2 linked regions of the Callithrix jacchus genome follow. The protein of the gene in region 2 purifies or fractionates together with the protein of the main gene of each other region. This does not show direct contact. Links are inferred from orthologs where the notes say so. Each region holds a gene or a part of one and is shown on either strand. Other genes may lie near its edges.

Evidence for each region.
Region 1: the proteins of ABL2 (region 2) and RIN1 purify together in Homo sapiens (co-immunoprecipitation; 3 studies listed by BioGRID and IntAct, counting the BioPlex papers as one, with this or other methods). This does not show direct contact. The link is inferred for Callithrix jacchus from reciprocal best matches to the Homo sapiens genes ABL2 and RIN1.

The regions. Positions count from the first base shown.
Region 1 is NC_133511.1:123,410,061-123,419,936, reverse strand, and holds RIN1 (ras and Rab interactor 1), read left to right. Parts: upstream 1-4,145; 5' UTR 4,146-4,180; coding exon 4,181-4,266; intron 4,267-4,423; coding exon 4,424-4,604; intron 4,605-4,704; coding exon 4,705-4,819; intron 4,820-4,897; coding exon 4,898-4,970; intron 4,971-5,090; coding exon 5,091-5,182; intron 5,183-5,331; coding exon 5,332-6,069; intron 6,070-6,358; coding exon 6,359-6,664; intron 6,665-6,923; coding exon 6,924-7,055; intron 7,056-7,161; coding exon 7,162-7,313; intron 7,314-7,814; coding exon 7,815-8,291; 3' UTR 8,292-8,501; downstream 8,502-9,876. Other genes in the region: BRMS1 (breast cancer metastasis-suppressor 1), read left to right, coding at 487-579, 1,844-1,908, 2,341-2,380, 2,719-2,726. UniProt on the Homo sapiens protein: Ras effector protein, which may serve as an inhibitory modulator of neuronal plasticity in aversive memory formation. Can affect Ras signaling at different levels. First, by competing with RAF1 protein for binding to activated Ras.
Region 2 is NC_133519.1:24,168,834-24,178,609, reverse strand, and holds part of ABL2 (tyrosine-protein kinase ABL2), read right to left. Parts: intron 9,620-9,776; coding exon 9,435-9,619; intron 7,500-9,434; coding exon 7,347-7,499; intron 4,618-7,346; coding exon 4,528-4,617; intron 3,109-4,527; coding exon 2,932-3,108; intron 2,382-2,931; coding exon 658-2,381; 3' UTR 1-657. UniProt on the Homo sapiens protein: Non-receptor tyrosine-protein kinase that plays an ABL1-overlapping role in key processes linked to cell growth and survival such as cytoskeleton remodeling in response to extracellular stimuli, cell motility and adhesion and receptor endocytosis.

The DNA.
Region 1 (9,876 bases), on a different chromosome or scaffold from region 2:
CAGCTTTCCTAACTGCACAAGGGGACAGTCAGACGACCTGCCTCTTGGGATCAGTGTGAGGACTGAAGGAAACCAGGCCTGGAAAGGGCCTGGCATACAATGGGGGCTCGGGCAGTGGGTCCCCCTGCCCTCTTCTGCCCCTGCTCTCTTTCCAAAACAGGTATCAATGTAACATGCAGTCCCATATAGTAGTTGTAGTCCCCTCCATGTTCACAGTACCAGTGTTCATGTGGAGTCCTGGGGTGGCAGGAATTGTCATTATCCCACTGTCCACTAAACAGATGAGGCTCAAGAAGTACAGTGGCCTCTTCCCGGGGTTGTGCATTTGGGACCTGAATAGCCCTAAGGGGCTTCCTATGGCAAGCCCAGGGTGGTGATGGGGCAAGGGAGGTGAGGCCAGGCTGGCCCATGGTGGGGGCAGAGGCTACAAAAGAGGGAGCATCCTGTGGGCCAGCACCCCAATTTTGACTCTGGGTCTGGGGGCAGAGTGGTGGGACGACAAATTGCACGCCAAAGGCAGCTCCAAGTCTTGGGACTCCCTGCCGCCCAGCAAGAGGAAGAAGGCACCTCTTGTTTCTGGTATCCTTTCACCCAAGGTGGCCTAAAAGTGGACAGGATCAGCTCCAGACCTGGAGTGGGGGGTGGAGAGGACATGGAGGACAGTCACATAGACGAACTCGTGGTTGCTTGGTGTCACGTGACCATGTCCAGGCAAATCCAGCTGTCAGCAGTTTCTTACAGGGTCCTGGGTCTCCCTGGGCTGTATGGTCCCTTGGAAAACAGAAATGGCTTGGGCTCAGTGGTGCACACCTCTAGTCCCAGCGCTTTGGGAGACCAAGGCAGGTAGATTGCTTGAGCCCAGGAGTTCATTTCAAGACCAGCTTGGGCAACATGGTGAAACCCATCTCTAGGTAAAAAGAATAAAAATAATCTAGGCATGGTGGGGCACACCGATAGTCCTGCTACTCTGAAGGCTGAGGCAAGAGAATTGCTTGAGCCTGGGAGGTTAAGGCTGCAGCGAGCTGTGATGGTGCCAGTGTACTTGAGCCTGCGTGAGGTTTGGCCTTTGAGGGCTTTCCGTCTCCCAGGGTGGTCCAAGCGGGTCCCCAGCTTTCCGTGGGCACCTTTGCTCACTTCCTACCCACCTCTTGAAAGTCCTGCCTGCCCCTGACCAGGGCTCATCTCAAACATTACCTCCTCTGTGAGGCCTCTCCTGGTCTTCCCCCAGTGCCTGGGGTGCCCACATTCCAGAGGGCACCGGCTGCCTCTGCCCCTCCCTAGACAGGGTTGGCTTATGCTTAGTCCAGGGCCTGCTGTGCCTTCATCTGTCCTGGCAGAGTTTAGTTCTCTTGCGCCCCTGAGGACATTCCTGCAGCAGCCACCTGGTGCTGGAGAGCAGGCCCAGGCAGGGAGGGAGGAATCTGGAAGGCCTGCGAATGAGAGGTGAAGGCATGGAGACATCAGGTAGGGAGCACTGGGGGAAGGGAGAAGTTGTCTCTGGAGGAACAAGCCCTGAATCTGTCTTTGGATGGGGGATGGGGTCAGTTGAGGGCTGGTGCTACAGGGTGAGATGGGATGGGCCTCAGCCAGCTGACCTCAAGACGAGACGAGGGCAATTAAGGGATGGCAGGCAACACTTGGTGTCCTCCATGGATTTGGTTCCAGGAGGACCCCGGGAACCAGGGTCTAAGAGGTAGAAGGTGGAACCTGAGCTCGGACCCAGGTCCTCAGCTCCCGCTCCATGCTGTCTGCTGCACCCCCACTCCCGAATGTCGGGTGGGTGACCCTGCCCCTGCCCTCATCACGTGCTGCCTCCACTGGGCTTCCTTGACCCCCACTACAGGCCCGTACATCGTGTATATGCTACAGGAGATCGACATCCTGGAGGACTGGACAGCTATCAAAAAGGTGGGGCTGCTGCTGCCCATGTCCCTTGCCCCACCTCAGGGCCCCCCCACCCTGGCAGCAGCTCTGCCATCTGCAGGCCTAGGAGTTCTCTGCTCACCAAGGCTCCCCTACCTTTAGCCCAGGGTCCCTGGATCGAAGTCGGCTCACAAGTCCTCTTGCTCGAGGTGGCCCTGGGAGAAGGGACTTGTAGTCTGTGTCAGCCCCTTCCTGTTCCAGGGCAGGTTTTGGTGGAGTGGGAGCGTGGTGGGAAGGCAGGAGAGCAGCTGAGCTGGCCAGTGGTCAAATGTATGGGAGCTCTGCCTGGGAGGGCCTATGCTCCCAGCCCTGGGGGTGTACTGAGGCAGCAACACGCATGCCACAGAAGTGGGGGGTGGGGACAGGGATTGCCAAGCTGGAGGTGGGCTCTCAGGGGGGCTTTTCTCACCCATCCAGGCTAGGGCAGCTGTGTCCCCTCAGAAGAGAAAATCGGATGGTAAGAACCATGGCTGTTGTACGGCCTCCCCTTCCCCCTCACCATCACCTTCCCTCAGCTCAGCCTCCAGGAGGGATCCCAGAGCGGCTGTGGCTGTCACAATCAGTGGCCCAAGACAGTTAAGATGATCTAGATTTGAGGGGTTTGCAGGAGTTTGAGGAGCAGGAACCAGGATGGGGTTGATGGAGCTTCCACTCAGGAGGAGTCAGGGAGGGCAGGGGAGCTGCTCAGGAGGCCTGTCCTGGGCCAGCCCAAAGCCGCTCCCCTCAGTAAGTGGCTACTTCCCTCCTTTTGGCTTCCTCAGTGGTGACAGTTTTCTCTTTCCTGCATATGCACAGGACCATGACCCTGCTGTTCACAGCCAGGGGACCCTCAGAGCCGCTGGCACGGCACCCAGGATTCTCATCTTCCTGCCACAGACAGGTGGACCCACAGGCCCCTCAGTGTCCACCCAGCCAGGCTCGTGGTGCTGCAGGGCCCTCCCCCCTCCCCGCCCCAGCTGGCACTGGACTCCTCTGCCCTCCTTGAGGCCTGCACAGCTGTGGCCGTGGAGCTGACCTGGCCAGTCAAAGCTGTTGTCTCCTGAGCCTCCTCCCACTCCTGAAGATCCACCTCTTAGGGCTCCCCTGACAGAAGACAGCTGAAGTCGAAGCCACATCCTCCTGCTGACCTTGGATGCAGGCAGGCTCCCCGGCCTCTAGGCCAGGAAGCCAGGCCCCACTGGCGGGAACTCTGAGTCAGACGTGGTGTCTGGAGGGCTGTCCACCCTGGCTGGAGCTGGAGGCAAGAAGCCAGGCCCCTAGGTTTTCTCAGGGCAGTTCTTGGTGTCTGCCTCCCAGATTTCAAGGACTGGAATTAAAACCTTTCCTGGAACTCTTGAGTGCCTTGTGTGTGCGTGTGATTTACCTTGCAAGAGAATCAGAGCTTCTGTGGGGAGCGCCTGAACCAGGCCGACTTCTGGGGTGCCAGTGACTCCTCACATTACCCAGCAGTGGCTGGAGCACTGTGCATAGGGCCAGGCTGGGGAGGCGGAGGTGGGGAGGTGGGCGCTGGGCACAGTTGGAAGCTGCTAGCGGAGCGCCTTGGGTAGGGAGGGTGGGTGCGTGTGCTTGGAGCCTGGGTCATGTCTGCACCTGTCCCAGTTGCCTGGCAGATTGGCAAGGCAGGCTGGCAGAGCCTGTGTGCGTGGGAGGCAGCCGACAGCAGCACCATGTGCTGGCGACCTCACAGCCAGACTCCCCCTGGTTAGCTCTGAGTGTCAGAACCACCCCCAGAACCTCAGTTAAGCAAAGAGGTTGGTTTCCATGGAGATGCAGCATCTTTTTTCCATGGCAACCTGAAATTCCAAAACCCAGGCTCAGGAATGAGTCATCGATGGACAGTAGAGGGTGCTCTCCCACAAGGCTGACCTGAGGCGGGGCAGATGAGCAACTGACCACAGACCCAGAGGTGCCCTAAGGGTGAAGGGAGTGGCTGGGGCCTGTGGAGACCCAGTCGGGCCTGCTTAACCGCTTCTCACCCATCTGCAATTTGAAGGGGAGGCTGCAGGAGGCCCTGTGTTGAGGTGGCACCCCCCAGCTGGGGCCATCAGAGTGGGGATAGCTAGCATGGAGGGGATCCCTGACCACTGAGCAGGGTCCAGAACAGAAGAGGCAGGCACTGGCCAGGCGGGGTGGACACACAAGAGTTAACTGGCGGGTGTGACAGGCGGACCGCCCTCAGGAAGTGTTACTCACTGGGGATGTGCGCGCCTTGCCTTCGGGCTGGATTCTCTTCCTGAAGCCGAAGGAGCTCCCAGCCATGGAAAGCCCTGGAGAGCCAGGCGCGGGCCTTCCTGGGGCCCCCAGCCCGTCCAGCTTCACTCCTGGACACCTGGAGAGAGAAAAGTTAGTGAAGTTGGCATGGCAGCCAGGTGGGACAGGGAGGGGCGGCAAGAGGAGAGCCTATCCCGGGACAGAGAAGGTGGGAAACCCGGGAGCAGGGAAGAGGTGAGTAAAGGTCCCAGCCCCCGGCCCCTGCTCAGATCTGGGTGCCTGCCCCCAGGCCAGCCCAGGATCCACTGTACGACGTACCCGATGCCAGCGGCAGGCAGGCAGGCGGGCCGCAACGGCCGGGGCGTGTTGTGAGCCTCCGGGAGCGCCTGCTGCTCACCCGGCCCGTGTGGCTACAGTTGCAAGCCAACGCGGCGGCTGCTCTGCACGTGCTAAGGACAGAGCCCCCGGGGGTGAGTCTTGCCTGACCTCCAGGGACTGGCCAGCCAGGGGTGGGAGGGAGAGGGGCCGGATGCCAAGGTCCTGAGCTGCCTGAACCCCATCCACTTGCAGACGTTCCTCGTGCGGAAATCGAACACTCGCCAGTGCCAGGCCCTGTGCATGCGGCTGCCCGAAGCCAGTGGCCCCTCCTTCGTCTCCAGCCACTACATCCTGGAGAGCCCTGGCGGTGAGGGGCTGACCTGGTGGGAAGGGTTGGAAGCAGGGAGGTTCCCCAGAGAAGCACCTCACTTCCCTCCTCTCTCAGGCATCTCCTTGGAGGGCTCAGAGCTCATGTTCCCGGACCTAGTCCAGCTCATCTGTGCCTACTGCCACACCCGGTGAGTCTGCCCACAGGGTGCCTGGTGTCCACGGGCCCTGCTCCTTGGGACAGCCCATCCTCCTCACCCCCTTCGGCCCAAGCATCCCTCACTCCCTTCTGCTCCCCTCTCTGGCCTCAGGGACATCCTTCTCCTCCCGCTCCAGCTCCCCACAGCCATCCAGCAGGCAGCCACCCACAAAGAGCTGGAGGCCATCTCCCATCTGGGCATTGGTAAGGGCTCCCTGCCACACATTGCACAGATGGACAAGCTGAGACTGAGGGAAAGGGAAGGCTCGCAGCACACAGCCCGAAGCCTTTCCTTGCTTAGGAGGCCTCCCCTAACCAACCCCAGAGGCCCCAGTTAGTTTCTTGTTCCCTAGAGTTCTGGAGCTCCTCCCTCAACATCAAGGCTCAGCGGGGCCCAGCTGGAGGCCCAGTGTTGCCCCAGTTGAAGGCCCGGTCCCCTCAAGAGCTGGACCAGGGCACCGGAGCCGCCCTGTGCTTCTTCAACCCCCTGTTCCCAGGGGACCTGGGGCCCACCAAGCGGGAGAAGTTCAAGAGAAGCTTCAAAGTGCGCGTGTCCACAGAGACCTCCAGCCCCCTGTCTCCACCTGCTGTGCCGCCTCCCCCTGTCCCCGTGCTGCCAGGGGCAGCCCCCAGCCAGGCAGAGCGGCTGCCCCCTTGCCAGCTGCTGCGGAGGGAGAGCTCAGTGGGGTATCGCGTGCCAGCAGGTGGTGGCCCTAGCCTTCCACCCCTGCCCTCCCTCCAGGAGGTGGACTGCGGCTCCCCCAGCAGCTCCGAGGAGGAGGGGGCAACAGGGTCCCAGGGGAGCCCAGCGACCTCACCCCACCTGGGCCGCCGGCGGCCTCTGCTTCGGTCCATGAGTGCCGCCTTCTGCTCCCTACTTGGGCCAGAGCGGCAGGTGGGCCGGGCTGCAGCGACACTGATACAGGACCGACACACAGCCGCCGGCCAGCTGGTGCAGGACCTACTGACCCAGGTGCGGGCCAGGCCTGAGCCTCAGGAGTTGCAGGGTGTCCGCCAGGCGCTGAGCCGGGCCCGGGCCATGCTGAGTGCAGAGCTGGGCCCTGAGAAGCTGCTGTCGCCTAAGAGGCTGGGTGAGGCTCCATCTCTCCATAGCTCCAGCACTGCCCCATCCGACCCTCTGCTCCCCTCCAGTGCCAGCCTGTCTGATTCTGTTCTGCTGCTTTACAAACCCACCGTCTTACCACTGTGCGGGAGAGTTCCACCCCCTCTCCCCCAACTCTCCCATCTCACCCAGTCTACCTCCTGCTTTCCTTGCCTCTCCTCCCCGATTCTACCCCTGCTCCCTTCTCTCCTGACCTCTGCCCCTACCTCCAGTCCTGCCCTGTTTCCCCTGACCCCTTCCTGCCCCTCCTCTGGCAGAGCATGTGCTGGAGAAGTCGCTGCATCGCTCTGTGCTCAAGCCTCTCCGGCCCATCCTGGCAGCCCGCCTGCGGCGCCGGCTTGCTGCAGACGGCTCCCTGGGACGCCTAGCTGAGGGCCTCCGCCTGGCCCGGGCACAGGGGCCTGGAGCCTTCGGGTCCCACCTGAGCCTGCCCTCCCCAGTAGAGATGGAGCAGGTGCGCCAGAAGCTGCTGCAGCTGCTCCGCACATACTCACCCAGTGCCCAGGTCAAGCGGCTTCTGCAGGCCTGCAAGCTGCTCTATACAGCTCTGAGGACCCAGGAGGGTATGTCCCTGCCACACCTCACCCTGCCCTGCCCCTCTGAGTCACAGGCGGGCCCCCCAGCGGCAGGTCCCCAGGACCCTGGAACAGCACTGTGGGGGAGAATGAGCCCACTCTCCTGTCTCACAAATGGTGAAACTGAGGCCCAGAGAGCAGCTTATCCTCTCCACAGCCCCTCTGTGGTTGCTAGGCCGGGGGGAGGGGTCACTGCCTAAAGCAAGGATTGCACCTGAAGCTTCTTCCTCTCACTGTGGCCCCACAGGGGAGGGCGCAGGTGCCGATGAGTTCCTGCCTTTGCTGAGCCTCGTCCTGGCCCACTGTGACCTTCCCGAGCTGCTGCTGGAGGCCGAGTACATGTCAGAGCTGCTGGAGCCCACACTGCTCACCGGAGAGGGTGAGGGACCCCCACCAACTTCCCTGTCTGGGTGGGCCCTGAATAAGCAGGGAAGTGGGGTGCCCCACTCCCAGCCTGAGCTGTGTTCTTCCACACTGTGTCCTAGGTGGCTACTACCTGACCAGCCTCTCTGCCAGCCTGGCCCTGCTGGGCGGCCTGGGCCAGGCCCACACCCTCCCACTGAGCCCCGTGCAGGAGCTGCGGCGCTCCCTCAGCCTCTGGGAGCAGCGCCACCTGCCTGCTACCCACTGCTTCCAGGTAACAGGCCCTCCACCGTGTCCTCAGAGCCAGACACCGTCCCCGCCCTTCACCTTCCTGTCCTTGGTGAAGAGTCCAGACTCTGTAGCCAGATCCTGGGTTCGAATTCTAGCTCTGCCACTGGGTTGTGGGAACTTGGACAAGTTATTTAACTACTTTGTGCCTCAGTTTTCTCATCAGTAAAATGGGGTAATAGGACCTACCTCCTGGGGTTGATGTGAAGATGAAATGAGTTAATGCAGGAGAGTGCTTGGGGCACAGACTACGTGCTATCAAAGCTTCGTCTCAGGCTCCTGAGCTCCCTGCTGGGCTGTCCTTGCACCTTCAGCTGTGGCCCACGAGCCCACCCCTGGAGCTCACAGGGCTTTTCCCACTTGGTTCTCCCACTGGATTTCTACCTCCCCATCTGTCCCCACACAGCCCACACTGGCCCCTCAGCTTTGGACCCAGATGCATGCCTGCCAGGACTGAGTACTTCCTTTCACTTCTCCTCCTGTATAGCACCTTCTCCGAGTAGCCTATCAGGACCCCAGCAGTGGCTGCACCTCCAAGACCCTGGCCGTGCCCCCAGAGGCCTCGGTTGCCACCCTAAACCAGCTCTGTGCCACCAAGTTCCGAGTGACCCAGCCCAACAATTTCGGCCTCTTCCTGCACAAGGACCAGGGCTACCACCGCCTGCCCCCGGGAGCCCTGGCCCACAGGCTGCCCACCACAGGCTACCTCATCTACCGCCGGGCAGAGTGGCCTGAGACCCAGGGGTCTGCAACAGAGGAGGAGGGCGGTGGGCAGTCAGAGGCAGGGAGCAGAGGGGAGGACCAGGGATGCCGGGGAGATGGGGACGCTGAGGTCAAAGCTAGCCCCAGGGACATTCGGGAAGAGCCTGAGACAACTGCTGAAGGGGGCCAGGGTTGGGCCCGGGGAGGGCCTGCTCAGCCAGGGGAGCCAGAGGCAGAGGGAAGCCGGGAAGCAGAGGAGTAACTTGAAGTGGCCAGAAGGGGTCACTGGCGGCGGGAGACCCAGAGCCTACTGAGAAGTCCTTTCAGTGCCAGTAGCCCCCTCGGGCTCCATCCTGTGTTTGCCATCAGCTTTGTCTGATACTTGTCTCTGGGGAATCTGGGGGAACTGCCACAACTGAGGAAATAGAATAAAGCTGAGGGGGCTTGGAGGACCCCCAGACTGTGTGCCCAAGGCCCCTTGCCTCTTGTTCTTCTACCAGCTGAGGGCGAGCCGGACTGCAATGGGGAGTGTGTCAAATGGGGACAAATCCAACCAACCGATGGCCAACCCCCGACGTGGGGAGGGTGGTGGTCTCGGCTCCTTTCACCCCTGCCCCGATGTGCGCAGCTCAGGCCGGGCTCTACCCAAGCAGCCCCCACCAAGCTGGAACTTCTGGGCCCTGAAAGGTTCCAACTCCTCCTGGGCGTCAGGAGGATTTAGAGAAGCCGCAGAACAGCAGCAAAGGCTTGAGGCCCATCCCTGCCCTTGACACTAAAGGACCTGCACTGTGAGCCTCAGTCTCATCTGTAAATCGGGGACACTACTGCTGCCCTGCCTGGCTCCCAGAAGTGTTCCAGAAATCAAAATGTGTGATTTTGCTACAAGCGGAGCTCACTGCAGAAAGGGAGGGAAGGAGCTGGGCTGCTAACTCTCCTGGGGTCTGGTCCCTGCCAGACAGGGCTCCCACCTGCTCATGCCCAGTCCAGGAAGGCTATTCCCCTAGAAATCAGGCCCTGGGGAGAAAGTACCCAAGTTACAGTCTCTCCCCAAGACTGGAAGTCCTCCCAGGCCCTCCAGCATCTCTGGGAGATCCACTAGCCGGCAAATAAGCTTCCAGAATGGAGAGGGGCTAGGAAACCATGCTCTCTGCACAACACTCTTGGCCCTCACGAAAGCTTTATCTGGCCATGGCTTGTTGGGCCCACTGAGGTTCAGGAAAGTGACTCCCAGGATGTCACACAGCAGGTCCTTAATGGTTCCCCCACCCAAACCAGGGCATCAGGTTCCAACTCCACCTACAAAGGCTGGGGCAGCCCCCAAGGGAGCCCAGAGCAGGCGGCAAATCTGAACAAGGAAAAAGTGCCGACGACCAACCACCAGGGGGCGTGCACGGCCCAGGAAGCTGCTGAGAGGGTGACCACCCACCGAAGGACAAGGGCACCTCCAGGGCTGCAGCAGCGCGGCGGGGATGTGTGGAGGGGGGTCCCTGGCCATGCATTCAGGTGTCAGGCAACCTGGGGACAGCGTAGGGGCTGAGGTGTCAGGCCCTCAGGTCCCTTAGGATCTGGGTAAGGCCAGCCTCTCTGGGGCCATCCCCAGGAAGGAAGGAATTGTCTCCCCATGGAGGATGACCCCAGAGTCTCTCTCCTCGGGCACCGAGCACAAAGGGACATCGGTCCACATGTCAGACATGACAACTGGGTGGTGGAAATCGTGGACATTGGCTTTTTTTTTTTTCTTTTTTTTGAGATAGAGTTTTGCTCTGTCGCCTGGCTGGAGTACAGTGGTGCGATCTCGACTCACCGCAACCTCCACCTCCTGGTTCAAACGATTATACTGCCTCAGC
Region 2 (9,776 bases):
CAATCTCCCTGACTCAACTTTCCAGCATTCTTTATTTCCTGCACCAACCAATACACCAGCAGAAAACCGGACAGGGGCATTCAGATAGTGCCACATTTCCCAGCTCTGTATTGTAGCACTCTGATTTGCAGTTCTCATTACAGCAGCAATGGCCTTGTGAAAGCAAGGCTAGGGGTACTTCCGACAGCCTTGAACAAAAATTTCTCTTTATACATTCCCAGCTTTCTTCTGTCCCACCAAACTCATTAGGTAAATTGGAGCATAATCACCATGAGTATCTACCAGAGTCCCAGGTCTGGGCACAGTTGCTGTGGTATAGCTGAGAGCGGCCCTGCCTAGCACCTCCCAGCATTCCAGGTAGGGATGGGCTGCATTGCCTTCCTTATGACATACATATGTTCCCTGATTTTCCAGTGCAGTTTCCAACCCTGTCTCCTACTGCCTTGCCCCCACTTAATAATTTACCTCTCCTATACTTTTGTGGTTAGCTTCTTATTTTTGAGATGAAACTGTAAACGTGAGAACTCAGGGATCTGAGGTACTTCACATAAACACACTCAAGTATGAGTCATTTTTTGAAAACAAGAACACAGGAAAACAAGTCCCTTTCCCTCTCCCCTCAGAAATGTGTGCATTTTCCCACCAGCCTAACAGTGGCTACCTCTGTACTACATCACTGATTTCCTGTACACATGACAATAAGTTATTAAGGACGGGGTTTGCCCCGGGCACACCAGCAGCTGCTGAAGACACCTGTAGCTCCTGTAAGCTGAGTTCCAGTTTGCTCACAGCCTCTCGGAAGGCAAATTTGTTCCGAGTTTGAGGGATGCAGTCCACGTAGCCTGAGCAGTAGTCGAGCAGCTGGTGTCCAGTGTCTACCAGCTGGCTGTTGGGCAGAGGTTCCGTGATTGCACTGGACAGTAGGTCAGCACATTCCAGCAGGGCCTCTTTGCTGATTTTGTCTGCTGAGATTTTCTCAGCGGCCTGTTTGGTTTTTCTCAGGGCCACTTTAGTACCTGCTGTGCCGTTGGCCATTTTGGCGGGCGAGATGGAAGACGTGGGCAGAGGCACTTGAGGTGGAGGCACCACTGGCCTCCCAGCTTTCCCACTGATGGGCACTGCGCCCGGAGCTGCCTTCTTTCCTCCTTCCTGTGTTTCTGATGTGGACTGTCCTGCAGCCGGGGCAGTCGGCTCTTCTGTAGGGTCTGAACATAAGGATGAATGCTGCAGTAGTCTCATCACTGGTGGTGGGGGTGGGGCACACTTTGGTTTTACCCGTCGGGGTCGGTCCTTGTCTCCAGAGGATGTAACCTGATGCTCAGATAAGAGCTTGAATTTATTCCCCTGAGAGTCTGTGCCAATAAGCTGCACATCAGCTGGAGTGTGTTTCAGAGTGGGTGAGATAAGGACTGGCACTTTGTGGTTGTGAGTGGTTGGGAGGACAGGGGCAGCCTTGGCTGGAGAAGACCAGCCGGGCTGCTCTCCATCCTCTGGGACTCCAACCATCCCAAGTCGTGTCCCACCATTCTTCTCTTTGCCCTTGGGGGCAGCTGTCACTCCAGCCACTCCCATCCCTGGAGAGTCCTTCTCTGTAATGGCTAGATCCCCAGAGGGGGTTCTAAGAGGAAGAGCTGTGGCTCCTCTGGGCAGTAACTTGGCTTTTGGTCTCTCCCTGGTTGGAGCAGCACCTTCCTCTGATTTTTTTAGAAGCATGTCATTGGCCCTGTCCACATTCTCTTCTGGCTGAGAAGAGGTGGACACTGTCCTTTCCAGCTGGAGTTTGGACCTCTGGCAGTTCCTGGGAAGGGTCATTGCCATCCTATCCTGCTCTGGAAGCCCTGAGGACATGGAAGATGTAGAGTTTGACCTTGGAAAAGGCTTGGAAGTGTCATCACTGGCTGTGGGTTTACCTGCTCGTAAGCCCAGTGTCTTTTTGATTAAGCGTGGTGTAAAGAAGCCTGTGATACCAGACCACCCACCCCCAGCAGTGCCACTGCCCCCACCCCCACCACCGTCGTCATTACACAGGTTCCTCTGTGCAAAGCTCCCCCCATAGCACTTGGGTGGCACCAGATTCGCCTCTTGCTGGGCAGGAGTGAAAGAGAACCCATCAGCATGCTGTAGAGAAGCAACAGATGAGAAGTTACCCGTGAGTTCGTATTTCTTATGGGGCTGATTCTCCATTTCTCGGAAGGAGCTGCTGCGTTTGGGGGGTGTGGGAGCATTTCTCTTTTTCATGAAGGAGCTGAAGAAGCCCCCTTTCCTATCCCTGGTGAAGCATGTCTCTTTGGCATCTTCCAAGAGGCTACTGGGTGACTTGTCTCTTTGCTTTCGAGGCAGTGCTGGGGATCCACTGGAGGCCTGTGCACCTCTGAGGAACCCTGATGAGAAACAGCCGATCAGTAATGTGAAAGACAGGAAGTGACTCTATTGTAGTTGAGTTACCGAGGCTGCATTATAAGAGTTTTGCCAGCATTTATCAAATGTCAGGCGTTGGCGGGACTCAGTGGCAAAAAATAAATACATTATCACTGCACAGTGACTGGTGTTCCAAATGTGATGTGGGTTACAAATGGGGGGAGATAACCTGCTGGTTATCACCTCAACATTCATCCTTTCTTTAAAAACCACTGCGCAATCTGTTCCCTTCTATGAGGTTCAGCAAAGTTTTTGATGGACCTGTAAAGATGATGCCTACTTGGGAACCCAGGGTTAAGGAGATGAAACTGGAGGGAGAGTTGTATGATGGATGGACAGATCAGGACAACTAACACTGGCAGTGTGGAGCCAAGGACTTCACAGGTGGGTGAAAGAGACTCCATGCTTTCCTCAGGGACGATGGGCATGAAAGTGGACAGAAAAGCCTCATATCCCACGCTTCTTTCAACAAGGTAGTTTCTATTTTGATTCTAGCTGCCTAGAGACCCATACCTGGTGCTAAACTGGAAGCAGAGTTTTCTGTGGCATCATCTTGTGCCCCTTCAATGTTCTCCTTGTTCTCTGCCTGTTTCTTCAGTGTCCGAGTCTTGGAAGGAAGTATAGGTAGCCGGGGCAGGTATGGAACAACAGATGACGAGGAGGCAGCTCTCCCAAGCTCCTCAGCTACTTCTGTCAGGAAGACAAGGGGACTGATAAAAAGAACAATTTCATAACAGAGAAAGGGAGCTCTTTTCAGAAAAGGCACACAGCTGAGAAGGAACTGACAAGTAGAGAGTACTAAAAAACATACACAGAATCATAAAATATGTACTCTTCTGTCTTCTTTTGCCCAGTATCATGTCTGTAGATTTGTCCACGCTGCTGCATGTGGCAGGGGTTCTCACTTCTGTGTAGTATGCCAATGTGTGAATATACCACAATCCACCTGTTCTCCTCTTGATAGATGTTTAGGTTGTTTCTAGCTTGGGGTTACTACCAATACATTGCTAGCATCATCCTGCCATGTGTCTTTTGGTAGACAATGCTATGCACATCAGACTGGCACAAACACAGGAGAACTGGTGGATCACAAGGTATATGAGCATTCACGTTTTTCAGGTCCTGCCAACCTGTCCCTAAATGGCTATACTATTTTGCATGAAAGCTCTGGTTACTCTGCATGCTTGCTAAAATTTGATGTTATTATTTTTCATTTTTTTGGCTTGATTTTTTTTTTTTTTGAGACAGAGTCTCAATCTGTCACCCAGGTTGGAGTGCAATGGCTTGATCTCAGCTCAGTGCAACCTCTCCCTCCTGGGTTCAAACGATTCTCCTGTGTCAGCCTCCTGAGTAGCTGGGATTACAGGCACCTGCCACCATGCCGAGCTATTTTTTTTATTTTTAGTAGAGATGGGGTTTCACCATGTTGGCCAGGATGATCTCAAACTCCTTGTGATCTACCCACCTCAGCCTCCCGAAGTGCTGGGATTAGGATTACAGGTATGAGGCTCCTCATGCCTGTAATCTCATGCTTCAGATATATATATCTCTCTAAGAATATCATTTTAAATATTCAGCTATATGAATGTAATAATTTGCAGTCCACTAGATATTTAAGTTGTTCATAATTTCTCACTATTATAAACTACATTCTGATGCAATGTCCTTACAGTTAAATCTTTGTTCATATTCTTATTTCCTTAAGATCTATTTCCAAAAATGGAATGTCTGAATATTGTTTTTACAACTTGGTTCTGCTTTGTAGATGCAGTTCAGGGAGTTAGAATTTTTTTTTACTTATTTTTTCCTTTTCTCTTTCCTACATCCTAAATATTGATGCTTAATGAGCTACCAAACTTACTAATGTTAAAGGGAAGATGAATAAATTTCTAATTAAAATACAACTTCAATTTAAAATATATGAGACACAAAGATGCACTGAAAATAGCAAAAAAGCAACACAGCAATAACCAAGGTCAAAAATTAGTTCAGTATCATAAAACAGAGTCCCAAACTACAGAAGTTAATCATTTTCGAAATGTAATTACCATTATCATCACCATCACTACCCAGAACTAGTCACCAACAGTAAATTCTATAGATTCTCACCTTCAGAAATGCTGGAGTCATGGAACATGGTTTCAAAAGCTTGGTGTGTTTCAGCAAAAGAGGGCCTATCGGCAGGGCTCCACTTCCAGCCTACATAACGGAAGAAGAAAATATTAAAAACTCCTTGCAGAAATTCAATATCCAGTGGTATGTCTAATAATGAGTTCCATGCCTCATGATGTGTACTTATTAGACACATGTTATGGCATGTTCACAATGATAACAACATACCCACTTCTCAGCTCTAGACTCAGAGGTATAACGAACCCACTGTTTTTTGTTTTTTGTTTTTTTTTTTTTGAGATGGAGTTTTGCTTTGAGCTCCAGGCTGGAGTGCAATGGAGATCTCAGCTCACTGCAACCTCTGCCTCCTGGGTTCAAGCAATTCTCCTTCCTCAGCCTCCCGAGTAGCTGGGATTACAGGCATGTGCCACAACACCTGGCTAATTTTTTGAATTTTCTCCATGTTGGTCAGGCTGGTCTTGAACTCCCAACCTCAGGTGATCCACCCACCTTGGCCTCCCAAAGTGCTGGGATTACAGGCTAGGCCACCGTGCCCAACCAATAAACCCACTTTCTAAATTCCTTTTTTCTTTTTCTTGGAGACAGGGTCTTGCTCTGTCACCCAGGCTGGAGCACAGTGGCACGATCTCAGCTCACTTCATACGCTTATTGGACATCTGGATATCCTCGTTTATTAAGTTAAAGTTAACCTTTAATTCCTTTCCATGTCGATATATCCAAGAAAGTCGGGCATGGTGGCTCACATCTATAATCCCAGCACTAGGTTGACAGATCACATAAGGCCAGGAGTCTGAGACCATCAACATGGCAAAACCCCATCTCTACTAAAAATACAAAAATTAGCTGGGCGTGGTGGTGGGTGCCTGAAATCCCAGCTACTCAGGAGGCAAGCACAAGAATCACTTGAATCTGGGAGGTGGAGATTGCAGTGAGCCAAGATTGCAACACTGCACTCCAGCACGGACCTCCTGGGTTCAAGCAATCCTCTTGGCTCAGCTCCCCAAGTTGCTGGGACTATGGGTGTGCAACACCACACCCAGCTAATATTTGTATTTTTATAGACAGGATTTTGCCACATTGCTCAGGCTACTTTTGAACTCCTGAGCTCAAGCAATTGCCCACTTTGGCTTCCCAAATTGCTAGAATTACAAGTGTGAGCATCACACCTGGCCATGAACCCACTTTCTAAGGCTGGTGCTTCTATTTAGCCTCAGCTCCTATTCCTTCTACTAAAGGATGAGGAGAGACGGGAAGATGGTTTAGAAAATGACAAGTTTTCTTCCATTTGAAAATGGAAGAAGTAAAAGTTTGTCTTCAAACTCAGCCTGACCGTATAATCAACTGTACATACTCAGTAATATAAAAGGATATCAAAAAGGAGGAGCTCAAAGTTCACTTTTGACAAAGTACAACAGAGAACGCCAAAGTTCAGTGAGAAAAGAACACAGACTTATGTTCAGACACAACTGCAGTTCAAGCTGGGCATGGTGGCTCACACCTGTAATCCCAGCACTTTGGGAGACTGAGGCAGGTGGATCACTTGAGGCCAGGAGTTCAAGACCAGCCCGGCCAACATGGTGAAACCCTGTCTCTACTAAAAATACAAAGATGGGCCGGGCGCGGTGGCTCAAGCCTGTAATCCCAGCACTTTGAGAGGCCGAGGCGGGTGGATCACGAGGTCAACAGATCAAGACCATCCTGGCCAACATGGTGAAACCCCGTCTACTAAAAATGCAAAAAATTAGCTGGGCACGGTGGCGCATGCCTGTAATCCCAGCTACTCAGGAGGCTGAGGCAGGAGAATTGCCTGAACCCAGGAGGCGGAGGTTGCGGTGAGCCGAGATCGCGCCATTGCACTCCAGCCTGGGTAACAAGAGCGAAACTCCGTCTCAAAAAAAAAAAAAAAAATACAAAGATTAAACAGGGCGCGGTGGCTCAAGCCTGTAATCCTAGCACTTTGGGAGGCTAAGGTGGGCGAATCACTTGAGGTCAGGAGTTTGAGACCAACCTGGCCAACATGGTGAAACCCCATCACTACCAAAAATACAAAAATTAGCCATGTGTGGTGGCAGGCACGTGTAATCCCAGCTACTTGGGAGGCTGACGCAGGAGAATTGCTTGAACCTGGAGGGCGGAGGTTGCAGAGACTGCGACACTGCATTCTCTCCAGTTGGGGTGGCAACAACAACAACAATTAGCTGGGCATGGTGGAGTGTGGCTGTGGTTCCAGCTACTCAAGGGCTGAGGCAGGAGAATCACTTTAACCCAAGAGGTGGAGGTTGCAGTGAGTCAAAAATCACATTACTGTACCCCACCCTGAGCAACAAAGCAAGATTCTGTTTCAAAAACAACAAAAAACAAAGCAAACAAAAACAACAACTGCTATTTAATTCACTACTCACTTCCCTACTTTTTTATCTGCAAGCAATCAGATGCTTCTGTTTATCCAACACAGAGGTATTTGTACGCAGTTCTTCATAGTCTTTAGCAATCACTTTTATCTAGTTGAAAGCAGCCCTCCCCATCTTAAGCTCTAAACTCAATCTCTTATTAAATATGCAAATGTATCTGAGAAACTGGGCCAATATTTGGGCCATAATAAAAACTATTCTTGGGATTCCAGAAAGACTCAATGCTATATGATATGACAACTGGCTGATCAATGATAAACTCTTTAAATGTCATGAGGCTGGATTCACTCAAACAGCACTAAGAGGAGAAAAGTTTCTAATTTTGTTAACTATTCTGAACTGCTAGCTTATGGCTTCAAAATTAAAATATGCAAAAATACTCACATGCTCTCATAAGTTCATAAACTTTCGGGGGGCATCCCTCAGGCTGTTCCATTCGATATCCTTTTTCTAGTAGGTCATAGACCTGAGACAGGTCAATACCTGGATATGGTGACATTCCATAGGTAGCAATTTCCCACAACAGTACCCCAAAAGCTGCATAAGGAATTTTAAAAAGCACTTAGTGTTTCTCCTCTGATTTATTATGCATTTTACATAATTAGGTAATTCTCTTCCCAATTTTAGATAACATTCACACCCTGTTACAACAACATTAACATAGAATATACTCTTTTATCAACTCTTACAGCATGGCTTGTTCTTCTAAAATATTTGCCACAGGCATAGAATCTCAAGACAGTTTTATTTAAATTTCCCAATTTTTATTTAGATTTCCTTTACTACAGTGAGGGAAAATAAACTATGAGCATTTAAGAAGCTGGGGCGTAATCCAACTAGTCTTAGAAAAGTCTCTGATATACAGTAGTCACCCCTTATCCGTGGTTTCATTTTCCATAGCTTGTTACTCACAGTCAACCAAGGTCGAAAAATATTCAATAGAAAATTCCAGAAATAAACAATTTGAACGTTTTAAACTGCATGCTGTTCTGAGTAGCATGATGAAATCTCAAGCCACGCTTCTCCGTATCCACACCATAGATGCTACCCACCCCTTAGTCACTAAGAAGACCTCTCAGTTATCAGATCAAAAAAAGATGATATATCCAGAGTTTGACACTATCCTTGGTTTCAGGCATCCAAGCAGGGGGATCTTAGAATGTATTCTCCGAGGATAAAGGGGAACCACTGTATTTAATAACAGTTTTAAACTCAGCTAAAATAAAGATTCATTTAAAATCAGATAAAATTCAGAGCAGAAAAAAAATTGATTTTGTCACAGTTATTTCAGTTTGAGATTTCTAGTAAAAAGTGACTTATAATCCTATGACTATTCCTATTGGCCCACAATCCAAATTTCCAGATCATTCAGTCCACTAAGCTTCTACCAAGTCATATTACTTCTCAGAGCAGTAGAAACAAGATCAGTAAGGACAAATTCTAGATGAAACCTCATCAATGCTTCCCTTGAAAAGAAAGCTCTGTGACTCAGTACTTTGCAAATGAGTAATAAAACCTAATGTGAGGCTAGTGCAGAGGCTCACTCCTGTAATCTCAACACTTTGGGAGGCTGAGACAGGTGGATCATCTGAGGTCAGGAGTGCGAGACCAGCCTGGCCAACATGGTGAAACTTCATCTCTACTATAATGACAAAAATTAGCCAGGCATGGTGGTGCATGCCTGTAGTCCCTGCTTCTTGGGAGGCTAAGGTAGGAGAATCGCTTGAACCTGGGAGATGGAGGTTGCAGTGAGCTGCGATTGTGCCACTGCACTCCAGCCTAGACAACAGAGCAAGAAAAAAAAAAAAAAAACTAATATGGAAATATGGTGCTATACAGAGAGAGGATCATCAGCACTCCAGTGCAATATGAAATCTAGACTGTGAGCGCTCTTGAAGGAATGGACTTCTTTTTTTTAAACTTTCTTCTTTATACTTTTTTTTTTTGAGACAGTCTTCCTCTATTGGCCAGGCTGCAGTGCAGTGGTACCATCTTGGCTCACCGTAACCTCCACCTCCCAGGCTCAAGCAATTCTCCTGCCTCAGCCTTCAGCCTCCCGAGTAGCCGGAATTACAGGTGCGCACCACCACGCATGGCTAATTTTTGTAGTTAGCAGAGATGGAGCCATGTTGTCCAGGCTGGTCTCAAACTCCTGACCTGAGACAGGGTTTCACCATGTTGACCAGGCTGGTCTCAAACTCCCGACCTCAACTGATCTGCCCACCTCAGCCCAAATCGCTGAAATTACAGGCGTAAACCACCACGTCAGACCTATTCTTCTGTTTATGTGAAGTTCTTAGCACAATCCTGGCAGACAGGAGGTACTTAACAAATGCTTGCTGAATAACTGAAGAAGAATGGCAGGTAAAGGTAGAGGATACTGAACATCATAAAAAAGAAAAGCTCTAAAGAATCAAGGGCATTTATTAAAACAATAAAATGACATAGAAAAAAAGTCCCTTTCAACCTTACCCCAGACATCAGATTTAATTGAGAAGGTATTGTAGGCAAGACTCTCTGGTGCTGTCCACTTAATAGGAAATTTGGCTCCAGCATGAGCAGTGTAAGTGTCTCCAGTCATCAATCTACTTAAACCAAAGTCAGCCACTTTTACCACATGGTTTTCTCCCACTAGGCAGTTACGAGCTGCAAGATCTCTGTGGAAAGAGAACCCTATATGTGATTCCATTCAGACAGTGAGGAAAATGGTCATGAACACTCTATTCTTGGTTCTTTGTGTTATAGGCAGAGTTAACTAAGTGCTGACAAATATGGTAGTATTTTTTGATAATCACTAACATCTTAGAAAGCCAC